Linked DNA regions of Tamandua tetradactyla. The protein of the gene in region 1 purifies or fractionates together with the protein of each later gene. This does not show direct contact. Links are inferred from orthologs where the notes say so. Each region holds a gene or a part of one and is shown in the gene's direction. Other genes may lie near its edges.

Region 1 (7,433 bases):
GATCAGCCACAGTCATTTCTCCAGCCCAAAAGTCTTGTCTTTCTCTCTCTCACACACGTAAACATACGCGCATGCTAGAGGCTTCGGTAGCTTTCCATTACTTATTCTTAGGTAAAAATGAAAGCTCCTCGAGGGTGTCTGAGCTCTGGCCCCTGAATATGTCCCCAACCCTAACTCACAACCCCGGCCTTTGCCCCTCTACTCCAGCCATAATGACCTTCTCTTCTACCTCCTATTTGCCAAGCTTTTCCCTGCACAGAGAACCCCTACCTTCCCTTCTTACCCTCTGGGTTCTTCTTATAGATCTTGACATACATGGACTCTCTCCAGAAAATCTTCCTTTAGTTACCCAATCAGGTCAAATACCTCCATGTTAGGCTCTCCTGTCACTGTGAACCTCTTCTTTAAACCTGAGCCACAGTTGAGATTTTACATTTGTTTGCAGATATTATTTGCTTAGCATCAGTCTCTTGCATTATACTGTAAGCTCCTCGAGGACAAGGGCTTTATCTGCCTTGCCCACCATTTGAAGCTGGGGGTGTACAATGCCTGGCATGAAGACCCGCTCAATAAATATTTGCTAAACGGATGACAATGGATTCATGTAGTTACGACGGGGCATGTGCACGGAGATGGGGTTTGGGGCAGGGGGGTGGGCTGCAGAGTGAGCTGATGTAATTGGAAGGAGCTGCTCCTTGGGGAACTGTCAGACTGAGATAGATGGGGTTGGGTATCAAAATGCCAAAGAGCCTTTCCTGCTCGGGGGCAGGCTGGGCTCCAGCCCTGAGCATGGGATTGTGATAAGAGACACAAGGGCGGTGGGGGCAGAAGGGGCTGCTGGTCCAGGAGCCAGCTGTCTGTGTCCTCCATCCATCAATGTCCCTCCTGGGACCAACGGAGCCAGGCGAGGCTGGAATGTGCCGAGGCAGCTTTTGCATTCACTGAGACCAACATACCATCTGTGATTATAAACAATCACAGCATCGAATACACACGTGAACATGGAACATTCAAAAACCAACTCTGAGCCAAGCCCTGGAGGTGGAGACATGCAACATTTGCAAACATTTTATTTCAAAAAACTCAAAGTTGGGAGGGAACCTCAAGGCCTTTTACTTCTTTCTGAAAGCTCGACTCTCTTCTCTAACATACTCGAGGCGCTCCTGATGTACAGCCTCGCCTATAACACCCACATAATCAAAGCCCACTGGCTCTCACAAGCACATGGAGCAAAAAATCGCTTAAGACACACTTTTCTGCCCACATCCTCACACTTGCCCCGGCTCATGTGCACACAGAATGTCTTCTTTGACTGCCTGAACTAACTCATGTCACGACTCCATGTCTCTTACACACATGCACACACACACACACACACACACACACACACACACACACACCCATTGTCTCGAGGAAAAGCATGAGAGTAGAGACCTGCACAAAGAAAACCATCAACGGTTCTGCTTGTATTCCCTGGTGCCCACCAGTTTATGGAAACGATCACAAGAAGAAAAGAACCTGTGTTTTCTCTCCTGATCATTGTCTGCTCCATGGCTATTTGTGTGTGTGTGTGTGTGCACGCGTGTGGTGGTGGTGGGGTGCCTCCAAGAAGTGGGGGTCTAGAGGGACTTTAGTGGGAGTTTTGAGACCTTACTGGCTCTTAAGCAAATCCCAGGATGGGGTATGTAGCACAAATTTGGGTATAAGCAGGGAAATTTGTGCTTTCTGACAAAGGGGAGCGTCTCTGGATTCTTGAGTGGGGGAGGGGGTCCCCAGACTTTTTTTTCAGAAGAAAAACTCTTCAGTAACTCTTTCCTCAGTGTAATTTGCCCAAGAGCAAGGGCTTCTCCCCTTTCCAAGCTCTCTCCCATCTCCCCGGGGCCAGAAGGGGAATCCCTCATTCTAAAATAAATCCTCTCGGCTGACCCTCCTTCCCACCCCATCACCAACCTGATCAACCTGTCACTATGTCCTTTGTTTCTGTGGCTTCCCATCCCCCTTCCCAGGCTCCCTTGTCTTTTGAGACCCCAAAGAGTTGACTGAGAGCAGTAGAAGGTGGGGTCCGCCTATTTCCTGGGGTGGGTGTGGGGGGGATGAGGAACAGGAGATGGAGCACCTGAGACCTCTCCTGGTGGGGGCAGTGCCAGGGTAAGGACCCCATACCTCAGAGGGTATGTCTTGGAATTGCTCTCCAACTCTGGAGCATTTACTGGGGAAAAAACAAACAAACTCGGCTGGGGACCAGTCCCTGGGTGTGGACAGCCGGGGCTGGTCCTTTAGGACAGTTCCACTGAAGGCACTGCTCCACAAGAGGAGAGGCCAGCAGGCTGGATCATGGCATGGTGCGGGGTGAAGGGGGCGAGACCAGGCGACCCTCCCCTCCTAGGACCGAAAGGGCCACAGACTCACCCCACAAAGTAGGAGATGATCAGAAGCTGAACCGCCCGATTGATGATCCCAATGGTCCAGCTCTTCACAACCACCGACTTGGTGGTTTCATAGGTGAAGAAGTCTGAGATGCAGTTCATGGTGAGAATGCCCAGGGGCCACCCAGAGGGGGCCTAACAGCAGCCTCAAGAGGGAGAGGTCCTCAGCCCAGGGAGACAGAGATGGAGGCCTGGAGATGAGGGGTGGGGGGGATGGTGCAGCTTAGAGGGGTGCGGGGAGCAGGGACCCCGTTCCTTTAAGCTAGGCAACTCTAGCTCAGGGTCCAGGCTCTCTCTGCACTTGACGTTCTAGGCTGCCAAGAGCCCAGGGCCAGGGCGGGGGAGACCCCCTTTTTGTTTGTCTCCACCCCACTCCCCTGTGATGTCACGGCAGGGGTGGGGTCTCTAATCCTGGGCTCCTGATTGCCTGGGATGCAGCTGGTTAGGTCCCTCTGGGATTCGTGCTTTATCTGCACTCTGTCTACCATCTCTGTTCTGCTCTCTTACGCTGCATCTTTGTCCTAGCTCAGCAGCTGCTTCATGCTCTCCCAAGTCTCTTACTATGCCCTATCCTCCAGCCACCTAACACCCTGCCTGAATGGAGCAACCCCTTCATTTCTGAGTGTACGCCTAAAACCACCCAATTCAGCAGCCATACCCACTCCCCTCCCCCAACAGCATGGGTTAGGGGGAGGGGTTTATTGCATATTTCCCTGGGAGGGGGTGAGTAGAGAGTCACATATTTCTAACCTCAGTTGACAGTGGCTGAAACTCTACCTGCAGTAAAGCAGTTATCACATTTTTTTTTTAAAAAAACTATCGGTTTAGTTATTTGGATCATTTGTTAGATTACGTGCCCCTTGACAGCTGGGGCTGTTTTCATCTTGTTCACTGGTTTCTCAAAGCCTGGAAGTGTGTTGGGTTAATAATAAGTCTTCAGTACGTGTTGATTGAATTCAATGAACTTATGTTGCTAGGTTGTGTTGCAACAGCCATTTCCCAGAGATTGAAGCCATGAGATCAGGGGGCCATGGTGTATTTCTGTTGTCCTTTATCACAGCAAGCTGGTGTAACTGAAGTCAGATTGTCAGGGAAATCTTGGGTTTAAATATTCTACCCTAATGTCTTCATATAAGACACTTCATCAGCTATTCTGAATGTGGAGTAATCGCGATTCAAGAAGACCTGGGTTCTGGCCTCCAGGTTTCTCATTGAGATCCTGGGCAAGTCCCCTGAAGGTCCCACTTTTCTCATCTGCAGAAGGAGTTGGATTAGAGCAACATTTCTTCTCGGTCTGGCCTTCCCTGGTTTTGTAAGACGCACGGTGCGGCTCGGTTTCCGCGATCCCAGGCTGATGGGATTTCAAATCCTTTCCGGCTCTACGGTGCATGTGACACCAGCGCTGGAACTTGACACCGCCGATTGCCAGCCTCTTCCGGGGGGGCCTATCAATTGCCGTTTTGAGTGCGGCTTTTGGGAGCAGACAGTGAAATTTCAAAAAGAATCCAGCCCTACTGGACCGGGGATACAGCCAGAGAGCCATATGGTCACAACACCAACGCCCGCATTCTCTGTGCAGCCAGTGGGAGGGGTCGTTTCTCGCCACAGCTCTTTAAATCTTTTCCTTCAGGTTCCAGAGACTCCTCTCCGCTCCAAAGCAACCACTCTCGTGCAGTGGAAGGACGTGCAACACCGCAGCACGGACACACGCATACGTGCAAAGTCTTGATAAAACAAAACTATACAATTTCCCTTTAGAATCCAGTCCTCCCCTGAAGAAGGGGCTGTAACTTCCTAAAGAAGCACTTCCCTCCTGGAGTCAGATTCCATTCCCCTGCCACCCCCCCGGGGTAAGCGGACTTCAGCCCCCAAACGACTCCCTCGGGTCCTCCAGAGCGGCTGACACTCTATGGGACCGCCTCACAGGCGGTCCGGGCTCGCGCTTCTCTAGCCCGCTCGTCCTCTCTATGGTCTAAGCGCGACTTCCGGTGGCGGGACGCGGGGCCGCGCACGCGGGAAAGCTTCCCCTGCGTCCCTCTTCCAGCCCCCAGGTTCCCATCCCCGTTTCCCCCTCCCCCTGCGCCCCCCAGCGCGCCCACCGCCCGTGCCGGGGCCCTCGTGAGGTGGCCGCCCGAGGAGGTAGGTGGCCGGCGTCCCCGTCCCCCAGGGAGGCGGGCTCAGCTCCCCCGCGGCACGCTCGAGATGGACCGTTCCGTATTCGAATCCGCGGGCAGTGGGCGAATCCATTTTGGGGGGAGGGGGAGACGCGGGTCTGGGGCCGCGCCGCGCGGGTCGCTCGGGGAGGGAAACTCTGCAGCCTGAGCTGGGTTGGGGGCCCGGGCAAGGTGTGGGGTCCTGGCAAGCCCTGGAGTTCCGCTGCTCGTTGCCATGGCGCCCAGGGGAGCGCTTCGAGCTAGGGTCGGGTTGGGGTGGAAGCGCTCCTTCGGGCCTCGGTTCTCGGGCCGGGCCTGGCTCCTTTACCCCGCAGAGGCTGCCTGAAGCTTCCCAGGCAGGGGAGATCCTGAGACGTCCCAGGGCCAGTCGCGGGTGCCACCTCGGCCCAGCCCCGAGCACAGTGATGTCTTTCGTGCTGGTCTGTCCTTTTGAATTTAGGTTCCCAACTTGCGGAACAACTGGACGCGCACCGAGGAGTTGGGACTCAGCTCCCAGTTTTTTTTTGGCTCCCCCTTGTGCAGCCTAGGGCTTCGTGCCCAGGCCAGCGGGCCAGATCAGCATGGCAGAGACCCTGGAATTCAACGACATCTATCAGGAGGTGAAAGGCTCAATGGTGAGAAAGGCTTGAACTTTTAATACGGTTGGAAGTGGGGTAGAGAGTTTGTGCTTTAACAAGGGCTTGCTTTGATAATGTGGTTAGTATGGAAGAGGAGGATTCAAAATATTATGTGTGTCTGGTGCTTCTCCAACGAGGAACGACACTGAGAGGGACTCCTTGGATCTCAGGGTTAGAAAGGATTTTATAGGTTGTTCGGTTCCAAATCCCGCTGTTAGAGATGAGGCAGTTAAGGACCCACAGGGCTTTGGGTGCCAGAGTGGAGATGAGATCCATTCTTCCTATTTGTCTGTTCTCACTGGCCCTGACGACTTCTGGTGTTGCTCCTGCATCGATAAAGGGCATTGGGTGGGACCATGCATGGCACCCAGTGTGTACCATCTCCACCTCTCTGGGCCTGTTTTCCCGACAGAACGATGGCCGGCTGAGGTTGAGCCGCCAAGGCATTATCTTCAAGAACAGCAAGACGGGCAAAGTGGACAATATCCAGGCTGGGGAGCTGACGGAAGGCATCTGGCGTCGTGTAGCTCTAGGCCATGGACTTAAACTGCTCACAAAGAACGGCCACGTCTACAAATACGATGGCTTCCGAGAATCGGTGAGATGTCCTAATGCAAATAGCCTCCTTTTTTGTGTTATCTTGTATATTTTTGAACTTTTAGAGAGAGTAGGGACTTTCCGATAGTATTGCTATTTTGAGCTTATTAGAGCTGGGCCATTGAGGCCGTGGAACAGTCAGGGTTCTGTTATGCTGTTCAAGTCTGGTGAGTTTCTTTAAGATTTCCTGCTGTTTTTATTTAGATGATTTCTACCTGTTTTCTTAATCCAGGTTGAGAAGCTTGGCTTGATGCTTTTGTTTTATTTTTCCACTTGGAGTTGCTTCAGATTGGAAGACTTTCTTTATCTTAATTGCCACTTCCTTTAAAGTAACACCTATACAAAGTTTAAGAAGCTAGTACTATTAAGTCTCATAAACAGGAATGTCAGTTCATTACTTTACTCTTCCTCTAGCCTGCGATCCATTCCCTGTATACAATCTCTTTAAACTACTTTACAGCTGAGATTAAGTTAGCATGGATTTTTGACACAGGGGGTACCGGGACAGTCTCTTGTGAATACGTAACCCTAGCCTATTCAAGGCTGTGTTGAGGTTCTCTTTCTCCTCTATCCACAGGAGTTTGAGAAACTCTCTGATTTCTTCAAAACTCACTATCGCCTTGAGCTAATGGAGAAGGACCTCTGTGTGAAGGGCTGGAACTGGGGGACGGTGAAGTTTGGCGGTGAGTTTTAGGAGAGACTGGTTTATAGGAGAAGGTAGGATGAAGGGTTTTGGTCTTTGACTCGTTTTGCTCTCTGTCCTGTGCCACTGTCTCCGATTTCTGGTCAGTCCATGCATTCATCCTGCATTTTATGGATATCGCCAGTGTGCACAAAATAACCCCAGTTCCCCTTCCTCACGGAACTTACGGTCTGGTGGAAATGCTCTTTGTTCAGGGGAGGAGCATGTGGCTTAATAATGCCTTCCCTATAGGGCAGCTGCTTTCCTTTGACATCGGCGACCAGCCTGTCTTCGAGATACCCCTCAGCAATGTGTCCCAGTGCACCACGGGCAAGAACGAGGTGACACTGGAATTCCACCAGAACGACGATGCAGAGGTCTCGCTCATGGAGGTGCGCTTCTACGTGCCTCCCACTCAGGAGGATGGCGTGGACCCCGTTGAGGTGAGGCCGCCCCCACTTGCCTTGGGAGCAGATGGTAGTGAGCAGACTTGGGCTGACCTGGGGACAGGAGCTTGCCTGATGACCAGGGTGTGCTTTTTTTTAGTTTTTAAAAAAAATATAACAAACAAACGCAAACATTCTTAATTTAAGATTATTCCGTTCTACACATATAATCAGTAATTCACAATATTATCACATGGTTGCATATTCATCATCATGATCATTTCTTAGAACATTTACATCGATTCAGAAAAAGCAATAAAAAGACAACAGAAAAAAATTCATCCATACCATACCCCTTACTCCTCCCTTTCATTGATCACTAGCATTTCAACCTAAATTTATTTTAACATTTGTCCCCTCTATTATTTATTTTTATTCCATATATTTTATTCGTCTGTTGATAAGGTAGACAAAAGGAGCATCAGACACAAAGTTTTCACAATCACACAGTCACATTGTGAAAGCTGTATCATTATACAATCATCATCAAG
Region 2 (7,667 bases), on another chromosome or scaffold:
TAAACTAGTTAAGGTAATTAAATGTCTATACACCAGCAAAAAATAACAAATCACACCAGGAAAATTGAAGATATGGCCCAGTAAAAGGAACAAACCAACAATTCAAATGACATACAGGAGCTGAAACAATTAATTCAGAATATACGAACAGACATGGAAAACCTCATCAAAAACCAAATCAATGAATTGAGGGAGGATATAAAGAAGGCAAGGAATGAACAAAAAGAAGAAATCGAAAGTCCAAAAAAATAAATCACGGAATGGCTAAATGGTAATGAAAGGCACAGGAGAAGAGATGAAAAAAACAAAATCTACAATGGTAGGTTTTGAGAGGATTAGTGAACTGGAGGATGGAACATCTGAAATCTGACACGAAACAGAAACTATAGGAAAAAAGTGGAAAAATATGAGCAGGGACTCAGGGAATTGAATGACAATATGAGGTGCACAAATATACGTGTTGTGGGTGTCCCAGAAGGAGAAGAGAAGGGAAAAGGAGGTGAAAAACTAATGAAGGAAATTATCACTGAAAATTTCCCAACTCTTATGAAAGACTTAAAATTATAGATCCAAGAAGTACAGCGTACCCCAAACAGAATAGAGCCATATAGACGTACTCCAAGACACTTACTAATCAGAATGTCAGAGGTCAAAGAGAAAGAGAGGCTCTTGAAAGCAACAAGAGAAAAGCAATCCATCACATAAAAGGGAAACCCAATAAGACTATGCGTAGATTTCTCAGCAGAAACCATGGAGGTGAGAAGACAGTGGGATGATATATTTAAATTACTAAAAGAGAAAAACTGCCAACCAAGAATTCTATACCCAACAAAACTGCCCTTCAAAAAGGAGGGAGAAATTAAAACATTTTCAGACAAAAAATCACTGGAAGAATTTGTGACCAAGAGACCAGCTCTGCAAGAAATACCAAAGGGAGCACTAGAGACAGATACGAAAAGACAGAAGAGAGAGGTGTGGAGAAGAGTGTAAAAAGGAAGACTATAAGTAAAGGTAAAAAGAAGGAAAATTAGATATGACATATAAAATCCAAAAGGCAAAATGGTAGAAGAACGTACTACCTGTACAGCAATAACACTAAATGGTAATGGATTGAATTCCCCAATCAAAAGACATAGACTGGCAGAATGGATTAAAAAACAGGACTCATCTATATGCTGTCTACAGGAAATAAATCTTAGACCCAAGGATAAACCTAGGTTGAAAGTGAAAGTTTAGGAAAAGATATTTCATGCAAATAACAATCAAAAAAGAGCAGGAGTAGCTATACTAATACCCAACAAATTAGATTTCAAATGTAAAAATATTTATCAACTGGTATGATAAAGTATCAACGATCAGTATGGATGCAGGCCATTGAACTGATGCAGCGTCCAGGCAGGCATTGCTCCCTTACTCCCTGAATTGTGAGATCTTGGGGTGGAGGGAGCCTGGAGAGTAACTGGATTGGTGGGTGGCAGAGTTGCATGGTGGGTGGGGCTGGAGGAGGCTCAGGACAGTAGCGATTTACCAAATAGTAAGAAACTATTTCAATATTGCATTTTAATATGTACAGCTGTATTCTAGTTTGCTAGCTGCCGGATTGCAATATACCAGAAATGGAATAGCTTTTAAAAAGGGGAATTTAATAAGTTGCTAGCTTACAGTTCTAAGGCCAAGAAAATGCCCCAATTAAAACAAGTTTATAGAAACGTCCAATCTAAGGCATCCAGGGAAAGATACCTTGATTCAAGAAGGCCAATGAAGTTCACGGTTTCTCTCTCAAGTAGAAAGACACATGGTGAACACAGAGTTTCTCTCTTGACTGAAAGGGCATGTGGCGAACATGGTTAGGGTTTCTCTCTCATCTGGAAAGGCATGTGGCGAACATGGCATTATCTGCTAGCTTTCTCTCCTGGCTTCCTATTTCATGGAGCTCCCCAGGAAGCATTTTCCTTCTTTATCTCCAAAGGTTGCTGGCTGGTGGGCATTCTGCTTCTCATGGCTCTGTCGTTCTGCTCTCTCAGAATCTCTCACATTCTCCAAAATGTTTCCTCTTTTATAGGATTCTAGTAAACTAATTAATACCCACCCAAATGGGTGGAGACATGTTTCCACCTAATCCATCTTAACAATCACTCTTAATTGAGTCAAACATTCCAGGGAGTTGATCTAATTACAGTTTCAAACATACAGTACTGAATAGGGATTAGAAGAAACAGCTGCCTTTACAAAATGGGATTAGGATAAAACATGATTTTTCTAGGGTACATATATCCTTTCAAATTGGCACAAGCTGTACAAGTGCATACTGGTTGACTGTTACCCTGGCTATCTGGTCCTTCTCAAAGACTGCCTTCTGAAGACACAGGTTTCAGCTTTCTCAGCTTTGCTTGGACAGTTATCATCCATGCTTTCCCTTTCTGTCCTCTAAAATTTGATTGCTCTCTGTCTATTGTTGTCTTCTATTCCTCTCTCTATCGATACTCGATTTTATTCATTTACTGTCATTTTAGGATTGCAAAGGAAACAGAAAAAGACCTCTTCAATCTGTCATATTAATCAGAAGGCCCCAATTTATATTTCAGAAAGTTTAGTTTGGCTGCAGAGTGGAGAGTGGATTGAGCTGGGAATAAGTCTAAGTAAACAGACTAGAGAGGTAACTGAATTCCTAGGAATATGCATGAAAATGGATGGTAGCCTAAATAAAATGATTAATAATGGGGATGAAGAGAAGTGGACAGACTTAAGATACTTAGGAGGCCTGTGTTCTCCAGCCACAAAATTTTTCCAAGGGTCTTCTTCCCTCCTCCCCTACCTCCACCTCCCACTCAGTTCCCACTAGCAATTCCAACTCTTCATGAGGTAAATCCAGATGACCTCTGATGTTTCCTCACATGCTGCTGGCAGTGGAAACTGTTATCAGAACCACCCAAAGACAGTGGCATGGTAAGCTCAAGCAGACAACAATATATATATATATATATATATGAGGCATACGGCAAACCCTGAGAAAAGGAATGACATTACCTTCTAGGGAAGAGGTTCTGGGGGTGTGACCAAGTCCCAGAGAGGGAGCTACAGCTTCAATTCTTGTGAGGCAATGGAGGCTTATCTTGAAGCAAAAGGCTTTATCTGAGTTTCTCAGAGAGCTTAGCTGTTAAGGTCAGCCTGGAACTCTGTCTGCTCTCTCATGTTTGGTCTTTTCCTTCTGTACATGGGATCTGAGTTCTCAGAAATCTACCAAGGATAGACGAGGAAGAGAGGAAAGGAAAAATGGGAAAGAAAAAAGTGAGGCCTTTTGAGGATGAGGCAGAATCTGGTTATGAAATTGCTCCTGGATACCTTGTGGACATATTTTGGGGCACTGAGATTGTGAATATCTAAGAAGCAGTTGAGTTTGAGGTTCCTACAAAACATACAGGTGAGGATGTCCATTAAGTAGGTGGATATACAGTCTGGAGCTGGTAAAGGCTGAGAGATACAGGGCCTCAAGCTCCCATCACCTTGCAATGAGGTAATACACACAATCACAGATAAACTACAGTGCACAACAAGTAGCTTTTTTTTGCTAAAAACTGTAAATATCTTGAGAAGAGTATATTTGTGTATGTGTGTTAAAACAATTACTAAATTTTAAAAAGAGTGGGGAGGGGACCTGGGGTAAATAAGTACACTGACTTAATCCACGCTTATTATTCTACTTATTGAAAAAAAGCAGAAATAAAACATCCAAGATTTAGAAAACAACAATTTCTATAACTGTCATCCCTCTATCTGGCATTTAAAAATCTTTCTAATATAATGAAAGCGTCAAAATACGGAAGTGGTCCAGATTTCTCTTAATCTCTTGGAGGCCCAGGAAAAAGTGGCGGCTGCGGATACACATTTGTAAATCATCAGCGTAAAGAAGCCAACAGTGCTTCTTCAAAGAATTTTCGCGGGATTCGCTAAAGAAGAGGAGCCTGCAAAAGAGGTAACGGGGAACAGCTGAAGAGATAGAAAACCCAAGGGAAATCAAAGAGTCGGAGAAAGACGGCCACATAGGGCAAACCCACGAGCGCACAAAATAACAGTTCGTTTTAAGAAAGGGATCAACCAACGGTGTCAAATACTTAGCTCATATTCCCCAGTCAGCATTAATCTAAGTAACTGCCCGCCATTGCTCACTGTTGCACAGCTCAGCTCTGCTAGTTTCTGTTTTCACTATTTTTTTTCTTCTACAGGCTTTTATCCGGCGGTTTACAGCTTATTTCCTCCAAGCAGATAGCTCAAGTAGGGCTTTGAATCTTACTTATAGTTCTCTCCCACAGAGTTTTATTTCTACTGCTCAATTAATATCAATAGAATGATCTGAGGAACATCTGACCAGCCACCCAGACAAAGATCCCAGCTTTTAACCAGCTCAAGAAGCCGAACACCGCAAGGACGCAGACACATTGCAGACACATTGCGCAGGCGCAAAGACAAAGCCACCCACCCCCCACCGCTTTCTCCAGAAGGTATTTGCATTTGGCGCGAAATCCCCGCTTAGTGGGCGGGACAGCAGGAGAACTTACCTCTCATTGGACAGGCTTGGCGCGAAATTTCAGAGCTCCTGCGCCACGATTGGCTCCCGCCGTCCCGGTCCGGCAAGGGGGCGGGGAGAAAGCTGCGCCAGCGCGCGCAAAGCGAATGCGCCTGGGGAGAGGTAGCTCGTCGCGAAGTGTGTTAGTGTTGGCGGCAGCTCCAAAGTGCTAGGCAGCCATGGACCTCGCCGCGGCCGCAGAGCCGGGCGCTGGCTCCCAGCACCTGGAAGTCCGCGACGAGGTGGCTGAGAAGTGCCAGAAACTGTTCCTGGACTTCTTGGAAGAGTAAGTCGGCAGGCCTGGGTCTTCCCCGGCCGCCAGCCCCGGGGGCGCCCTCCCTGAAGTAACTTCCCCTCGCGGCCCTCTCCGCTCCGGGCTCGGGCGGGGCGCGCGCCTCGGGGGCTGAGGAATCGCGCGCCCTGGAGGAGCGCCCTCTGCCCGGTTTTAAGCTCCGAGCCAGGTCCTCAAGAGGACAGGGCTGGTTTAAAAGAAAAATAATTTTGAGTGTTTATTCAAACTTGTTGATCTGCATGTCCTGCGCTAAGCATTTGCCTTATATGGTTTAATTATCGCTACAACCCTCGAAGGCCGGTAGTAGTTTAGCCCCTTGTTAACGGATGCAAAAACTGAGCTTCGATGAGGTTAACCAAACAGGCCACACGACTCGGCCTGGTCGAGTGAAAGGCAGAAGTGGCATTTGGGTCCTGGCAGAACTCTGATTGAACAGCCAGCCAGAAGACTGGTGGGGCCACCGGGATTCCTGGCCACCACTGGAGATGAAAGTACCAGAGCGAAAGTGTATCTCTCTGCTGTGACCAAGTTTGACACATGCTCGATGGGGGGGTGAGCTCCGCCCTGCTGAAAGGCAGCTGAACACACCCATCCTTCTGCCTGATTTCCTTCCTTCACCCCTCCCACTCTTCCAGGTTTCTGGTTTCCCATAACCCCATTCCCCTGATTTTTTTCCCATTGTTCGCTTTCTTGCATAGTAAAGATACATCACTACTCTCCCTAAGAGTCTCGACTGACCTGCCTCCAGGACTTCGGAATATTGAAATTCTGACATACTTAAACTTAAGATTTATATATCCATACTTTTAGCACTGTTATTCTCTGCCTGACAGCTACTCGCTCAACCCTGTATCTCCTTTGTGAAGCCCTCATGACCCAGGCACCATTCATACCTTTTTCCCTAATGTTCCCAGGGTTACCATTTCCTGTATGTTTCTGGTAATGTGGCTACTTTTATTTACCTGTCAGCCGCTCATTTTGAGTGTGAATCCCATCCTCAGCACCACCTACCCAACACATCATAAATGTCCTCAATAAATATTTTGTTTCAGCGAATAGTTTAGGTTCCTTCACTTTACTGTTAAGTACTGGGGATGGCAATGAACAAGACAAATAGTCCTTGTACTTTGTTGAGAAAAAATGTTTGCCTCCCTCTTGAAAAGCCAACTTTGATTCCCCATCACCATAGAATAAAGTCCAAATTCTTCATAGTGCCCCTTCCGGTTTTATTTCCCACAGTCAGCTCCAGTTGTCATTCAAATTCCTCCCATATCATCTCCGACATTGCAAAATAATTGCAAGCATAGAGAGTCTATCCAGGACCCCTGTTTTTCTTTGGAATTTTTATCATCTTCCAAGCCTGAATTCCAGTGACACTTTTAGATATGTAGAAAGCCTTTCTTTTAGGCAGACTTAGTTTATACTAACTGCATTTTTTGTACCTCTCTTTAGTAAGAAGACTTTCTTCCCTTTCTCAGTTGTTTATATATCTGTCTTGAGTGTAAACTCTAGGGCAGAAATAGCACTCATTTTCAGCTTCAGGTGCCTCTGGCAACATGTTCAATAAATATTTAAGAGAGTTAGAACATCCTATATTTGAAGATGGAATTCTATCATAATTAATCTGCATATTATGTTAAAAAAAAGTAGGCAACTCTTGAAAAAAATTTCACCAGCTCTTTTGTGTGCATGTATGTGTATTTCAATTTCTCTGAGGTCTTAGACAGTGAAACACTTTGTTTTTATTCTGATTTTATATTAGTTTTCAAATTCCCCAGGAAATTTAGGCCTTTGGGCTTTTACGTGGATATCCTGATTGAACATTTTATTAGTAATAGTTAATAATTATAGAATAACACATTCCAGTCAAGAAATTTATGTTAAAACCCAAAGACCTAATTTTCCTATGTTTATAGGCATTCTCTCATTTAATCTTAGCAGCTGTCTCATGAAATGGGTGATCTTTCCTTATCTGTTAAAAAATGAACATTTTCTTATTTAAAGGAAGCAGGTTTAGAGGAATAAATAACTTCTGAGTCTAAAGCTGGATGATATTTAAGCAATACACTGAACTATCAGCATTCAGATTCTTTCTACTGCTCCCCTTTTCCTTAATTTAATCTGATGTGTATATATCTGCAGGTTCCAGAGCAGCGATGGAGAAATAAAGTACTTGCAGTTAGCAGAGGAGCTGATTCGTCCTGAGAGAAACACATTGATTGTGAGTTTTGTGGACCTGGAGCAATTTAACCAGCAACTTTCCACCACCATACAGGAGGAGTTCTATAGGTATGGGTGTATTAATCTCCTTTACTTTGAATAGAGGTGAAGTTCTGGGAAGCCAGCTCTTCCTGGTCTGGAAGTATTCACTTGTGCGGCAAGGAAGCAGCTGTCAGTTACTTGCCTCCTCAGAAAGGGGGGTCCTTTTGGTATTATCTGTGGTCATTTTAGAACTATTCTGGACTTCATCTTGGCCTTTGTGGAGCTGAATGTTTTTTTCACATAAATTGAAAACCTTTTCTTTCTATGTAGTTTTCCCAGGTTTTAAGAGGATTGCTTACTTTGTGTCAGACATTTAGTACTGTTGCTGTCATTCCTTTGATCCTGCCTCCTACCCCACTCCACACACATCCTCACCCTAGTAGGTATTTTGAAAAAGAACAGTATGTGTTTGTGTGGGTCCTTCTTACATCAGGGCTATCTTTGTAGCAGTGTCATTACTGTACCTCCCATTCCCTTAAACTTTAAATTTGTTTTAAATAAAAATGAGGTGTATATTGTAGAAAATAAAGAATAGTAGAGGGGACAATC
Region 3 (7,375 bases), on another chromosome or scaffold:
TTTTCTCCCAAGTAGTGTGGCAATCTGGGACTAACTGCCAGTGATCCTTGGCTCCTCTGTCATATGGCAAGGCACAGGGCAGCATTTCCTGGTCTTTTCCTTTCTCTCACATTCAGTTTCAGCTTCTTGCTTCCTATGACTTCTTTCTCTCTTTGTCTGAATTTTATTCTCTTGTAAAGGGCTCCAGTAATAAGAATAACACCCATCTTGGCTGAGGTGGGTCACACGTTAATTGAAGTAGCCTCACCAAAATGTCCTACTTACAATGGGTTCACACCCACAGGAATGGGTTAACTATAAAAACACATTCTTCTGGTACATACCGTTTCAAACCACCACAAGTCTCTTCAACAAATGGGAAAATCAGATCTCCAGTCACAAAAGAATGAAGGTAGTCTCCTACCTTACATCATATACAAAAATCAACTCAAAATAGTTCTGGCTCTTATATTTAGTTTTTTTTTATCTATCAAACTCTTAGAAGAAAACATAGGAAGACATCTTCAGGACCTTGAGTTAGGCAATGGTTTCTTAGACTTTTCACCCAAAGCATAAGCAACAAAAGAAAAAATAGATAAATGAGACCTCACTAAAAATTAAAAACCTTTGTGCATTAAAGGACTTTATCATGAAAATAAAATAACAACTTACACAATGGGAGAAAATATTTGGAAACCACATAGCTGATAAGGGTTTAATATATCGAATATATAAAGAAATCCTATAACTCAACAACAACAACAAAACACCCAATTAAAAAGTGGGCAAAAGACATGAATAAATATTTATCAAAAGAAGATATACAAATTATCAAAAGCACTTGAAAAGATGCTCAATATCAGTAGCCATTAAGGAAATACAAATCAAAACCACAATTAGATGCAGTTTCACACCCACTAGAAAGTCTATTATTTAAAAAACAAAAGATAAGTACTGGAGAGGATAGAGAAATAGATATACTTATTCATGGCTGGTGGAATAGTAAAATGGTACATTGGCTGTGGAAGAAAGTTTGAGGTTCCTAGAAAGCTAAGTATAGAATAACCATATGATACAGCAATCCCACTTTTAGGTATATACTCAAAAGAATTGAAAGTAGGGACTTTTTGCACACCAATATACATAGTGGCATTATTCACAATTGTCAAAAGATGGAAGCAACGCAGTTTCCATCAACTGCTGAATGGATAAACAAAATATATATACACATGTACTGGTTTGAATCTGTTATGTGCCCCAGAAAAGCTTATGTTCTTTTAATCCATCTTTGTGGATGCAGACCTATTGTGGGTTGGAACTTTTGCTTTGGTTGTTTACACGGAGATGTGACCCACCCAATTCTAATCCTTTTCTGGAGTACTTTGAGAGAGGATAAAAGACACTAAAAGCCCAGAGAGCTTAGAGAGAAAACTCCCAGAGACATTTGGAGACAGTCATTGAAACCAGAACCAGGAGAGAAGGACCAGCAGATGTCGCCATCTGCCTTCCCATGTGACAGGAACCCCAGAGGCCAGCAGCCTTTCCCCAGAAAAAGTATCTTCCTGACCATTCCAAAATGGTTCCCTCTTAAAGGACTGCAGTAAGCAACCCCACCTTGAATGGGCAAAGTCAGATCTTCATCTAATCAAAAGGTCACACCCACAATTGGGTGTATCACATCTCCATGTAAGTAATCCAATTAAAGTTTCTGCCCCACAATATTACATCAGGATTAAAAGAGATTTGACTGCTCCCACAAAAATTGGGTCAGGATAAATTCCTTAGGGCAGCTTCAAGCCAAGGGAGGTCAAATGTCTGGGTCAAGGCAAGTGGATGGCAGCTCCACATGCCCTACTTTGATCAGAGATGAGGGACGCTTGTGCTGCCCAAGTATTCAGTTTTTATATACCCACAGGGTGATTGAGCAAGTATTCATCAGGCTACCTTTGTGCCCTGGCAAGCAGCTGCAGTTGGTTGAGATTCAAGATCACCTAGCTGCCTGTGGTCTCTTGCAAAATAGAACATGCCATACACCTGCATGCAAACAAGCAAAAATGGAAACATACTGAACACCTGCATGCAAACAATTGAGAGAGGAAAAGGAGATATTCACTAGTATCTAACTCTCTTGCTCTTTTCACCGACTCCTTTCTCTTCCAACTCAAACAACTCTTATCTCCTCTCTCAGAGCTGGTGATAGTGATGGTGGCACAGTTTAGAAAATGGCAAGTATTCCAATTTGTTTGAGGCAAGATATGGGAAAGCAGTAAGGATGAGTCTGGAAGTTCAGTTAGGTTGTGTCCTAGTTTCCAGGATGCTATGATAAATACCACAGGATGGGTTAGCTTAAACAATGGGAATTTATTATCACACAGTTTGGGGGCTAGAAGACTTGCTTCTCCTGGGGTCAGTAGTATTCTGCCAGGCTGGCAATCCTTGGGGCTCCTTGGTTTTCCCATCACATAGTGATGTCTTCTCCTTTCTCTTCCAACTTCTGCCTGCCTTCTGGCTCATCCCTGTGGCTTTCTCTATTTCTTTTGTTCATCAAGGACATCAGTAAACTTGATTAAGACCAATACTAATTCGGTTGGCCACACTTTAACTACAAATAACATTTTCAAAAGTCTTATTTATGATTAGCGTGCACCCAAAGGAATGGGATTATAGTTAACACTTTTTTTTCCCTAGCCTACGTAACACAATCTTCTGTAAGTAATAAGGGCTAATAATCATAGAGGGACTGATAAGTGAGCAAATAAATTTGGGATAGGTCTCTGTACTGTAAGGATGGTTCTGGATCACCTTATAATGATATATAAATATTGAATGTCATTAAGTAGAACTTCATGGTGGAGTAATTTATGGATACTAGATTTGAAAATCTGCTTAGGAAAGAGAGTGGTAGGTGGAGAATAACTGGGAAATTGTTAGGTCTTGTGGGAAGACCGATTACTAGAATTTGCGTTCACCCATTGCCATTCAATGTATTCTTCCAGGATCATATCCTAACAAAGCCTTTCTTGATCCCATGCCACTCTCCTCCAACGTCCAGAACTCTTCATTTATACTAAAAAATATAATTAAAAAAGGCACTTAGGAGCAATCTTTTTTTACTTTAATTTCTTACATTACTTGGTACATAGGCTTGTTTTACCACCCTGTTCCTTATACGCGTGGACATTTTTTAGTGAAAATGTGCGTTCTGTTACAGGATGGAGAAGAAGAATAATATTGAAGTCATGAATTAGTTGGACATCAGTTTTGAGATTTATTTTTATTTTTTTAAAGAAAAATGATATTTTGTTCAATAAAGTTTTTTTGCAATCATTGGATTTTAATTCATAAAATCCCTGGAAAATGCACTATAAAGATTCATTTAAAAAGCAAATCATTGACATTAAAATGTAATCATTTTCATTGGAGAAATCATCAAAAAATTTCCCATTGGCAAGAAAAAGTCCCCGTTTAATCTTCATACTCAAATATTCATCATACTGGGTAAATTCAGGTGGTAAAAATCAATGCTGCCTTAGTGGTTTTTTTACACAATAATTTTCCACCCTTCTTGTTATTCTCTTGTTTGTTCTTCACTGCCTTCACTTCATTCTCCTTTTACCCTAACAGGAACCCCATTTCCAGTAGTAGTAAAATAAGAGTTTTTGAAGCAGTTAATTAATGGCATTGAGTAGATACGATGGAGCTCCGCCCCGTAGGAGGGGCAAACACAAGCAGATCGAATTAAGTGGTTCGTCGTTAACAAACGAACCCTTAATCTTTTCAGGAGAGCTAAACATCCACAAAGGCCCAATCAGAGGCCGCAGTTCTCGGAGTTCGAGGGGGCGGAGCTGGACACTTGCCCTCCCACCTCCCAGCCTCCCGCGGGGGCCGAGTGAGCCTCCCGGGCTTCGCCCGGCCCCACCCCTTCGCCAGGCACGGCGGCTATTGGCCGGTGCGCTCTTTGCGGTCGCCTCAGTTGCTGGGAGAGGGAGGGCGGGGGCGGGAACTGAGGTAGGCAGTGGGGTAGGAGAGAAAGGCGGGTAGGCAGCGGAGCGTGAGGGAGGAGGCTAGGGTGGGCCGGGCGGATTCCGCGAGCACCGCGGCGGTTGGCGAAACGGAGGGGGCGCAGCCTCCCGGTGCGAGAAACGGTCCCGGCTGACAGATCCCGGTCTTCCGGCTGCGCCACCCGGGAGGCGGATCCCTGGGGCCTGAGGAAGCTTCTTCGGCCCGGCTCCTCCCCTCCTCCCTCTCGCTCCTGAGGGTCTACAGAGCGGTCTCTGAAGAGAAGGAGGAGGTCGTCGGGGGCGGCGGCGGCGGCGGCTGCGGGCGGAGACCGCGCTCGCCCTTCTTCGGCGGCGGCGGCGGCGGCGGGGGCAGGACAATGGAGGTGGCTGTGGAGAAGGCGGCGGCCCCGGCGGCGGCGGCAGCTTCGGCGGCCACGGGGGGGCCCTCGGCAGCGCCGAGCGGAGAGAACGAGGCCGAGAGTCGGCAGGGCCCCGACTCGGAGCGCGGGGGCGAGGCGGCCCGGCTCAACCTGTTGGACACTTGCGCCGTGTGCCACCAGAACATCCAGAGCCGGGCGCCCAAGCTGCTTCCTTGCCTGCATTCCTTCTGCCAGCGCTGCTTGCCGGTGCCCCAGCGCTTCCTTATGCTCCCTGCACCGATGCTGGGCTCGGCTGAGACTCCGCCGCCCGTTCCCGCCTCTGGCTCGCCAGTCAGTGGCACATCGCCGTTCGTCACCCAAGGTGAGAGCTGACCGTGGACGCGTGGGGGAGCCCGGGCCGGGGAGGCGGGCGCCTCTGTGCGCCGGGACCCGCTGTCACGTCGCCGCCGCCGGGGAGCTCGGCGGGGGAGGGGCGAGGAGGAGGGTCTGTGTTGGCGGCGGTGACATGGTGGGCCAGCGCGCTCTGCAGCGTTCCGCGCGTTCCGCGAGCAACTTCCGTGGGTGCTGAGGACTTGGCAAAGCTGCTGCTCCTTTTGCTTCTGAGCATTCTCCTCCAGGGTTGGGTGGCCCATGTGACCCGGACTTTTGTAAACCTCTCGAACTGTGCTGTAGTCTGTATCTCGGGTTCTTTGCTGCTGCCCGCTGTATACCGAAAGCTTTGTCCAGGTCCATCTGATTCTAATCATCTCCTATATACCCACGTTATTTGAACTGGAGTGGGGAAGGGAGGAATAAGGATTAAGTGATGCGGTCTTTATTTGATGATTGATTGTAGGTTGGATGCCGTCTATTTCCTGTTTTGTGTATTTTGGGTTCGTTACCTTAATGCGTGTCTAATTGTCTTCTCTCCCCTCTGATGGGACAAAGGAACCAAGAGACGGTGTTTTGTCTTTCCCTTTCAAAGGTTTTATTTTTAGAAGGTAAACGGTGAAGAAAAATAGAACAATCCAAAGTGATTCGGGGCAGAGATTCTCCAGTATTTTTAAGACAGCAGCTGGAAATGCTTAAGTTACAGTTCTTTTTGTGGTGTTTGTTACTGTATAATGAGACTTTTGACAGGTAGTTCCCGTTGCTCGTGTTAACAGGTTTGAAACATTTAAAGTAAGTTATAAGCATAGTAGTTACTTGTTTCTAATAGAATGCTTGAAGTTTTTAAAATTTTAATATTGAAAATACTTGAGCACTTTTTAAAAATACCAAATAACTGGAAATGGGGAATTATTTTAAATATGCACTTCTTAGAGAGAATAGTTGAATTAATTTGAGAAAATGCTAATTAAATAATTGAGGTCAAGTGGTATATAAAATTGAGGCTCCAAAGAGATTGTGGTCTTAGAGTCTAATTAATTAAATATCAGGAGCTGTGCTAGTTGTGAGAAACACCATGGATCTCTGTTTCTGCACGTCATGTCTGTGAGATACGCCCTTTGTTTCATCTTGTTTTTTTTTCAAGGATATTTGGAAAATAGAGAATAGTGGCACATATGTTTATTGTCCACATAAAAGACTGAGGTTCCCTAAGCATAGGGTTCCTCTTCTGTAACACAACTGCTGCCTGTGCAGGTGTCAACCCGCCCTCTTCAGTTACCCTCTGGGAACTGGGGCTGGGGCAACCAGTGCAAAAAATGCTCATGTTTGGCTTATGCTATTGTTTTAAGTAATAAACTGTTCTTCATTACTTCTGCCAGCATTCTACCGTGATAGGCTATTTCATTAACTTGCAAGTAGGGTGCAATTACAGATCCTTCACACTAATTTGCTCTTCAACATTGAAGTGGCCCACCTCTTGAAAAGTTAGTACAGGTTAAAGTTAAATCTTAGTTCTTAACTTTTAGATACATTTTAAGGTTTCTTTTATTTAAACTTTAAGTGGGAAAATAGTCTGGTAACCAATTATGATCTGAGATTTGCATCACTTTAGAATTAAGATTTATTGTGTGCCCGGCAGTGACATTTAGACCTGCAGAATGAGAATATGGGTTATAAAAGCTCTGATGCTTGATTCTGAGACAGGTTTGCAAATTTAGACTTCTCAAAATAGTCTACATAATTCTAATCTCCAAATATTTTTTATCTTTGTGTTTGTATTGAAAGCAAGAGTTCAAGGAAAGTAGTTAAATTGAGAGATACTATTTTTATTATGTACTCTAGTGGAAGACTAAGAAAAAGGTCTTTAATAAATTATATTTTAAAAGACACCTCTTAAAAAGGGTTGGTGTTATCTTCAATGAATTAAAAAATGTTATCCTGATCTTGCTGACTTGAGTATTTTTCTCTTTCTCCTTGCAAACAGATTTTAATACTAGCTGAAGCAAAAGTTGAGGTGATGTATTTCATAACTAAATAAATGGGGTTCATTTGATCATTTCTACTCTTCATTATCCTGAACAACTTGTGGATTCAAGGCATTGTGAGTTAAAACTACAATACCTACAGAGACTAAGCACAAAATTGAGATGGTGAACAATGAGCCTGGGGGGAAGGTAATAGGAAAAGATGGAGAGTGAAAAGGCAGCAAAATGTACTTAGCTCAGCAGTAGAGAACAGGACCAATGTTGAAGGATATATATGTATGTATGTATTATTTTTTTAAGTGAGAAGTCTGTGTGTGTGTGTGTGTGTGTAAAATTTCTCTAGTATTAGGTATTTGTAGATAATTAAAGAAAATGTATAGATATAGGTCCGTACTGTAGGCCAAACAAAACAGCTTTTGTTGCAGCCCCTTACCATGTTGGAGTTTGTACTCTTCCTGTTTAGATTTAGATACAGATTTTCAAACTCTAGTTCTAGTAGAATCACCTTGTATTCTTGTTAAAAGTTTACATTTTCAGTCCCCTCTCCACAGGGTCTAATTCTACTTAATTTGGAATAGTTTAATATTTCTAGAGTATAATATTAAAACTTGGTTTTCTTTATAATTCAATCAGTATTGTTCCAGAATACAGTTCATTCGTA
Region 4 (7,700 bases), on another chromosome or scaffold:
AATTTAAGCAAAATTGAAAACATTTGGTGATGGATTAAAAATGGGGCTGAGGGAGACAAGGCTGTCAAGGTGGACTACTGTTTAGCCTCAGGCTTTCAGTACGGGATTCATGTGATATCATTCATAAAGTTAGAAATACTGGTATGAGGATCTGGCTTGGAGATAGAATGATATAACCAATTTTAGCCATCAAGTTTAAGGTTCTTGAGACATCTATGAGAAGATACCAAGTAGGGAATTTTATTTATAGTCTGCAGCTCAGAGGACAGGTTCTGGATAGAGAGATAAATTTTAGTGTCATTTGTATTGAGTTAGTAACTGAAACTGTGGTTGTGAGAGAAGGTGGTGAGGGAAAAATACCGAGACCTGAGAAAAGCCTGGCTCCATTTGGTTGACCATAGAACTCATGGGGTTATTCAGATAGTCACGAGCAAGGTTTGTCTTGTTTCGCTTTTCTGTTTTATAGCATGTGAGCGGGTGTATTTGTTATCTATTGCTGTGTAGGAAATTACACTAAAGGTAGTGTTGAAACAACAAGTTTGAAACATTGAAACAATGTTTTTGTAGTTCAAGAATCTGGGTATGGCTTAGCTGGGTCCTTTGCTTTAAGACTTTCACAGTCTCCAATCAAGGTGTCAGCAGGGAATGCTCCTAAAGTTGTAATTGGCCATCTGTAAAGTCTGCCCAGGCCTAGCCATCACAAGTGTAGGCTTGGGGGTGGATATACCTTCCAAGCTCACTCATGTGGTCGTTGGTAGGATTCAGTTCCTTGAAGACTGTCAGACTGAGGATGGTAGAACGTCACCGGTTGTTGGCCAGAGTCCTACCTCACTTCCTTGCCTTATGAGCCTAATGCAGCTGCTAGCTTCATTAAAGCTAGCAAGTCTAGGAGGCAAGAGGAAGAGAGAGCCAGGGTGAGAGATAAAGAGAGTGCTAGCAAGATGAGAACTTATAGTCTTTTGTAACCTAATCATGGAAGAGACATTCCATCATATTTTGCTTTATTCTATTTATTAAAAGCAAGTCATTAGGTTCAGCCCACACACCAAAGGTGGAGGATTACAAACGGGCATTAATAACAGGTAGCAGAGATTATTGGGAGTTATTTTTGAAGTTGCCTGCCATAGTAGGCTTAGGGAAACAAGAAAAGGGAGAAGAGGAGATTGAAGGCGAAAAAGCAGAAGGGTAATTGCTAGCTTAAGCTTCTGGAGGTAGAAGGAGATGGAATAAGAGCACATACAGCAGGGAAAGATGCTTAAGATACAGAAAAACGGAGAGAATGAGGGTTAAAAATGGTATTTTTCTTTGGCACAGGTTTGCTTAAGGTTGAGATGTGTTGCATTGTTAATGACCTGGGACCCTGAAGAGTTGCATGAAGTTTCCTTTCATAATGTAGTAAGCTGCTCCTTCTCAATTAACTAAACCTCCACATAACTACCAAAGTACTTTTTTAAAGCATGGTATCTGTGCCAAGGAGTTAGGAGATCATTATCTGTACACAAAATTAGTGCAATAAAGTACTATGGGTCAACAGAAAGTCAGTTGAGGTGGGTTATATACACACTTAAGATAGATAGCCATAGAGATAACTTAATATTTTCAATAGCACAGGCCTAAAAGCCATAACTGAGTTTAGCTATCTCAGCGTACCCTCATGATGCCCAATCGGATAATAACTTCATTAGAATTGGATTTAGTAGTGGTCAGATTTTACTAAAATGTTAAATCCAATTCTAAGCTTAAGAGCAGTTACTAAAAATAAGTAAAGTGATCATGTGCGCCATGTTTCCATTAAGCTATAAGAAGACATGGTCTTAAATTTTAGAAAAGCTTTCAATTAAGAAGGTGATAAACTTCCTGAAACTGGGGGCTTTAAACCACTGGAATATATTATGTTCAGTTGGATTTGTAAAACGTTTCCCTCCTAAAGACATATGTATTAAATTGTTTGACTTTGAATCTGATAGATGACAACATAAGAATGAATCAAATAAATAAATGATTTGTGAATACATTTTAAACAAGTCAGAATGGGCTCATAATCATTAAACATTTAAATCCTATCGTGTGCTCACGACTCTTTCACCAAATAGCTGAATGTTATTGGAGAAAATCACAAAATCATGATGTCTGAACTCTACCTTTTTAACACAAACCTGATTCCCAGACATCCATACTACACTTTCCTGGTATGTCCACCTTTTTTTTTTACTCACCAGTGTGACTATTTTATACCTTTTATCTCTTCAAATCTCTAACAACTCTTTCCTCTCACTTCTAGTTGATGTGTCATAGAGAAAATAGAGGAAATAAAACAAGAACTACCTCAACTTCCTACCACCAATTCACCAACATTACCCATCTTTATCTGCATAATCTGCAATCCTGTACAATGAAAAAGTGTCCTGATTCATTTACTAGCCCTCTAAATATCTAAAAGTTTATAGTTTTTGCTTTCACATTTAGGTCCATGATCAGCTTTGAGTTAATTTTTGTAAGTGATGTCAAAGCTTATATTTTAGTTTATCAGTATTCGATTGTTCCAGAACATTTGTTGAAAAGACTCTTCTCCCATAGAATTACCTTGGCAGTTTTGCCGAAACTCGATATATGTTTTTACGGTTTCTTCCTGGACTCTCTATTCTTGTTCCAATTGACTATGTCTATCCTTATGCCAATAGCACATTTTATCGTTTTTTTCTGCGAGCTTCATCAGTTTTTGTCTTTCTTCTATGTTGTCCAATTTATTGGCATAAAGACGTTCATGATATTCCCTTATTATCCTTGATATTCCCTTATTATCCTTTTAATGTCTGTAGAATAAGTAGTGATAGCCCCTTTTTAATTTGTGATATTGGCTGCCTGTGTCTTCTATTTTTCTTGGTCTGGGTAAAGGGTTTATGATTTATACCGGTCTTTTCAAAGAACCAGCTTTTGTTTCTCCATTGTTCCTCTGTTCTTCATTCCATTGATCTCTGCTCTTATCACTATTTTCTCTATTTTGCTTTTTTCATTTTAATTTGCTGTTTTTTATTTCTAGTTTCTTAAGATGGACGTTTAGTGCCACCAGTTAATGTTACAAATTTTGATACTATATTTTCATTGTTAATTCAAAAGCTAAGAGAGACAGAAGCTCAGAGAGGAAGCCCCTGAAGTCAGAAGCTGGAAGCAATGAAACCCAGGTGAGAAAGGAGAGACCAGCAGACAAGCCATGTGCCTTTCCATGTGACAGTGTAGTTGAGGATGCTGGCAGCCTGTCTTTAGAGTCCAGGTATTGTCCTGTTGATGCCTTGATTTGGACACTTTAACAGCCTCAGAACTGTAAACTTGTAAGTTAATAAATGGATTGTAAAAAAAGCCAATCCATTTCTGGTACATTGTATTTCATCAGCGTTAACAAACTAAAACACCTGTCAAAGATCTTGACTGATAACGTGTTGCAGTACCACTTCTATACCAGCTTAAAAAATTTATAGAGAGCCTATTTTGGTTCTTTTCATCCCACTCATTGGATTCAACCAATTGACCATTTAACATCAGGTATTTAAAAAAGAAAGAGGGGACTATTTTTGGATGTTTTGACTAGAGGAAGGCATGATAATGACTATCTTTTGACCCCGTTCTCCCAAATTCCGGGCCGGGGCACAATATTCTCATTTCTAGGCATTATTCCCTCGGGATCTCTGTGGATGACACTATGTGTCATGTTAGAGACTCCATGTGGACTATAAATGAGCTGCAGAGGTCCCATCAAAGCCTCAGGTCTCATGGTACATCAATTAAACAGAGTAGATATAATATCCACTACAGCAGACCCAGATTGTGGTCAGAAAAGAGATCTCTCCTGGGATTTTTCCATTTCCCCAAATCCCAGCCTATTTGTCAGAAAATATGTGGTATTTGGTTTTAACAGAAGAAAGAGCTATGATTGGTTAGCTATGCAGGAACTGAACGCGGGAGAAACTCTACTGTGGAGAAACGGGCATTAGCAAATATTCAAATTACAGCAGGAGATTTGATTGAGAAATTATTGTTTTTCTTGAATTCAAGGTGGAGATATACTGAAATGGGTTATCGTTGGCTTAGATTGAACAGTCTCCCGGGTAGATTTTAAAGCCACTTAGAAAGATAAGAAAAAATTGGTAATGGGTTATCATTTTACAAAAGCGTGCTAAACCTAAACTTGTTTGTGCAGAGATGTCGCAAAGAAAGGGAACATTTTATATCGAAAGCAAGTCACCTGACCTAGTCAGTGTTTCCGAACACTGGACTAGCCACAATTTTGCACTCGCCTGGCTCACAATCCATTAGCAAAAGACACCGTTATCACAGCAAATGAAATGTCGGCACTAGGGCAGGAAGAAAAGCCTGCGCGCCTTCCACGTGTGAAAAAGTCCTCCTGGGGCCGCGTCCGAAGATCCTCCCGCTGACCCCCTAGATCCCACTCCGGTAGACCCGCTAGATTCCACCACCAGGGTCTTTGAATCAGTTTGGTTCGCCAGCTAGGCCCCGCCCACCTACAAACCCCACGCGCCAATCAGCAGTACAAAACAAAAGCGTAACGCGCTACCCAGGCTCCGGCCGCCAGACTCTCGCGAGAACTCGTGATAGGTCGGCGGTTCCCGCGCAGACCTCGCGAGAAGGCCACCAGCCAGGAGGGCGGGCTCCGCCGGGGACCCGCCTCCCTTGAGCGCGCGCGCGCCGCGGCGGGAATTTCGCGTGTTCCGGGTTGGGATTCCAAAGATTCCGGGACTGTGGTCGGGCCTGGCGGGGGGCAGATCCTGGAGCCTGGAAGTGTGGCCAGGTAGGACATGCGTCGTGGGCAGGAGTCGCCCCTGGGAGCTCGGCTGCCGCCGTGCGCGGCGCACGGCTTCCCTCTTGGCGGGACTAGTCCAGGGATTCGGGGAAGGGTGGAGCGTTGGCACCCGGCACTGCCGTGCTTTTCCCTGTTTCGAGCCTGCGAGGGAGCGCTCTGTGCGCCTGGGAGACGCTCGGTGCTGTTTTCCGGAACGTAGGCCAGGGCGCAGTTCGAGGTAGGATGGAGAGTTGAGTCTGTCCTGCAACCCTTTCTTCCCTCTTCACTCAGTCTCGGGCTGCAGGGTCTGACCTGGAAGGATAGATTTTAAGTCCCTACCAGAGCCGGTGGAGGTGTATTTTGTCTTCGGTCCCGACAGCCTTGATCTCGGAGAGGTGGGGGCGGGCAGGAAGCTTGCCGAGGACTTGGCTACCCCCGGGGGTCGTGGCGATTTTTTCTGTTGCGCCGGAGGGCACGTTTTCGCAGTTGCTTTTCAAGATTCTTAACTTCTTTGGGACCTTTCTGAAGTAACTCCCAACTTCTTGGCCCGCCCCACCTCTACCAATCTCTTAAAAACTTCTCTTTGGAGCCCCTAATGAAAATCACATTAAACCTCAAACATTTCAGGACATGAAGTAAATAATGGATAGCTGTACCCCTACGTCATCGTTCCTGACGGACAGCTTGGAGTTGGAACTGGGGAGAGAATGGTGCAAACCCCCTTGCTTTTCTTGCGATTTTGACAACAGAGAAGGAAGAAGTTTTTCTGGAGAGTCCTACCTTTCCAGCGGAGCTCTTAAGCGGTAGGTGAACAGAGGCTTTCTTTCATCGGATTATGAATCAGTTTGTTAGGAAATACTTAGTTGTGATATCAGATAATTAAACTTTAATTTTCATCAAGACGTGTTTTGTAAATCAGCTAAATATATCACACGGGTGCAGACTATAATTAGTTTTATGACTGGTTTTCTAGTTAGAGCATACCTAAAAGTATTTTACATTTTAAGAGTTTCCTTTGTAACTGATATCTCATCGCAACCTCACATTTGGTGCTACCTCATTTGGGCTAAGGAACTGGGCACTAATTTCCTTTTACTTAAAATATATTCTGAAGTGCCTGGGCTTTTTAAAATGGAATTTCCTTTTAAAGAATGAGATCATATTCTAAGGCTTCTCAGTAGTTTTTAAGTAACCCACACACATTTTTTGTTGCCCTAATTCTTTCTAACTTTATCTCTCTCTCTCTCTAAATATATATATATAAGTCATACAGGTGTAGTTATTTTAAACTTTCTAATAAATGGTCTGGTTCACAGAAATGTTGTTTTTCATTGCATTTGGTAGATATACACACGTAAAACTGTTGAAGTATTTTGAGTGTTCTTGAATATTTGATCAATTTCACTCAGAAAGGAAACCATTTTTGTTGATTTTATAGTTGTATTATTTGAGACCCTAAAAGAGATTACCTAACTTGATTGTGCTATTCACTAGGCATGGCTCAGAATAATATTTGCCTATTTTTTTAAAAATCAGTTTTGTCCTTTCAAAGAATGAAATTCTACAACAACGATGAAATTCCCACTAATGAAGACAGGCAAAAATATGTTCTCTAGGCTCCTTTTAAAATTATTCTCTCAGTTATTACTCTTTAGTTATACTTTTTAATCACTGTGTACTACTGAATTTTTAAAATAGTCTAGCTATAATAAACCTGAATCTGTAAGGTACCAAAGCCTTACATATTCCTGACTTTGTAACATCATTGCTGGTTATATATAACATGGATTCATTTAATGTCAAAAAGACATGCTATACTATGGTATTTAGTATACTTTTTATGGAACTTCAATCAGAATTTTCATTTCAGATTAATTTTGAATCTTGATCCTTTGCCAATTAATTTTGAAGAGGATGTAGTGGAAATATTTGGCATTCAGTGGGTTACGGAAACTGCATTAGTGAATTCATCAAGAGACCTCTTTAATTTATTCAGGTATGTTTTTTCTTTTTTCAAAACTACCTGAATGTAGATAATAGTTGATTTTATAACCTAAGTTGCTAGGTGGTTTTTAATACTGAAATTATTAAAGCACCAGTAGAGTTGCATTTGTTGTTCACCTTATTAATGACCTGTAATAATAATTACACAAGTTGATGAAGTAATAGTTTTAATGAGTTTCTTTTTTAGTGGTTTTCAAATCTGTCAATGTATATTTGACATCATGTATTGAAGGCAAATATTTAAGTCTTTGAATACTGTTGTAATTTTGGAAGAAGAGTAAAATACTTTTGCTCCTTAATAGCCATAGTCTTTCACCGTCTTTAGAGAATGAGCTCAAACTTTCTAAATGTATCTTTCAAACTGTGTAATAGGAATATGATTAATTCTCTATTTGAATATATTTAGCAAAAATTTTAATGAAAAATTTCAAATATACAATAAGTAGAATAGTTTAATGAACTTCCATATACATACCCATCTCTGTTATAATAAACATTTATAAAGGTTTTATTACATTTCCTATGTCTTTTCCTCCTTCTCTTCTTTTGATTTAAGTATTTTTAAGCAAATTTGAAGCGTTGTATCATACTTTGTATAATACTTTAGTATGCGTTTCTTAAAAATACGAACTTTTTTTTTACATAAACACTATTTCATCACAGTTAACAAAAGTAAAAATAATTCTGTTAATATTTAAAACCCAGTTCATGTTCAGATTTTTAGATGATATTTTGAAGTGGAGTCAATGTTGACGACAAATTATTATCCAAAAGCACATGAAGAATATATATGTATGTGGTATATTTAAATGAAAATGGAAAGGTGGAATGATTTCTCCTCCCATCCCATCCCATGAGACTTTGTGAAGAGACCTCACTGTGTCTGTACCATGCCATAACT

Evidence for each region.
Region 2: the proteins of SSRP1 (region 1) and MCM6 purify together in Homo sapiens (affinity purification with mass spectrometry; 4 studies listed by BioGRID and IntAct, with this or other methods). This does not show direct contact. The link is inferred for Tamandua tetradactyla from reciprocal best matches to the Homo sapiens genes SSRP1 and MCM6.
Region 3: the proteins of SSRP1 (region 1) and TRIM24 purify together in Homo sapiens (affinity purification with mass spectrometry; 3 studies listed by BioGRID and IntAct, with this or other methods). This does not show direct contact. The link is inferred for Tamandua tetradactyla from reciprocal best matches to the Homo sapiens genes SSRP1 and TRIM24.
Region 4: the proteins of SSRP1 (region 1) and MMS22L purify together in Homo sapiens (affinity purification with mass spectrometry; 3 studies listed by BioGRID and IntAct, counting the BioPlex papers as one, with this or other methods). This does not show direct contact. The link is inferred for Tamandua tetradactyla from reciprocal best matches to the Homo sapiens genes SSRP1 and MMS22L.

The regions. Positions count from the first base shown.
Region 1 is NC_135335.1:20,253,512-20,260,944, forward strand, and holds the start of SSRP1 (FACT complex subunit SSRP1), read left to right. Parts: upstream 1-4,417; 5' UTR 4,418-4,565; intron 4,566-5,039; 5' UTR 5,040-5,160; coding exon 5,161-5,214; intron 5,215-5,629; coding exon 5,630-5,815; intron 5,816-6,391; coding exon 6,392-6,497; intron 6,498-6,748; coding exon 6,749-6,939; intron 6,940-7,433. Other genes in the region: P2RX3 (P2X purinoceptor 3), read right to left, coding at 2,410-2,528. UniProt on the Homo sapiens protein: Component of the FACT complex, a general chromatin factor that acts to reorganize nucleosomes. The FACT complex is involved in multiple processes that require DNA as a template such as mRNA elongation, DNA replication and DNA repair.
Region 2 is NC_135329.1:105,540,108-105,547,774, reverse strand, and holds the start of MCM6 (DNA replication licensing factor MCM6), read left to right. Parts: upstream 1-4,662; 5' UTR 4,663-4,743; coding exon 4,744-4,850; intron 4,851-6,998; coding exon 6,999-7,145; intron 7,146-7,667. UniProt on the Homo sapiens protein: Acts as a component of the MCM2-7 complex (MCM complex) which is the replicative helicase essential for 'once per cell cycle' DNA replication initiation and elongation in eukaryotic cells.
Region 3 is NC_135327.1:181,411,233-181,418,607, forward strand, and holds the start of TRIM24 (transcription intermediary factor 1-alpha), read left to right. Parts: upstream 1-4,357; coding exon 4,358-4,721; intron 4,722-7,375. UniProt on the Homo sapiens protein: Transcriptional coactivator that interacts with numerous nuclear receptors and coactivators and modulates the transcription of target genes.
Region 4 is NC_135331.1:154,686,178-154,693,877, reverse strand, and holds the start of MMS22L (protein MMS22-like), read left to right. Parts: upstream 1-4,682; 5' UTR 4,683-4,804; intron 4,805-4,934; exon of another isoform or gene 4,935-5,033; intron 5,034-5,422; 5' UTR 5,423-5,437; coding exon 5,438-5,598; intron 5,599-6,665; coding exon 6,666-6,791; intron 6,792-7,700. UniProt on the Homo sapiens protein: Component of the MMS22L-TONSL complex, a complex that promotes homologous recombination-mediated repair of double-strand breaks (DSBs) at stalled or collapsed replication forks.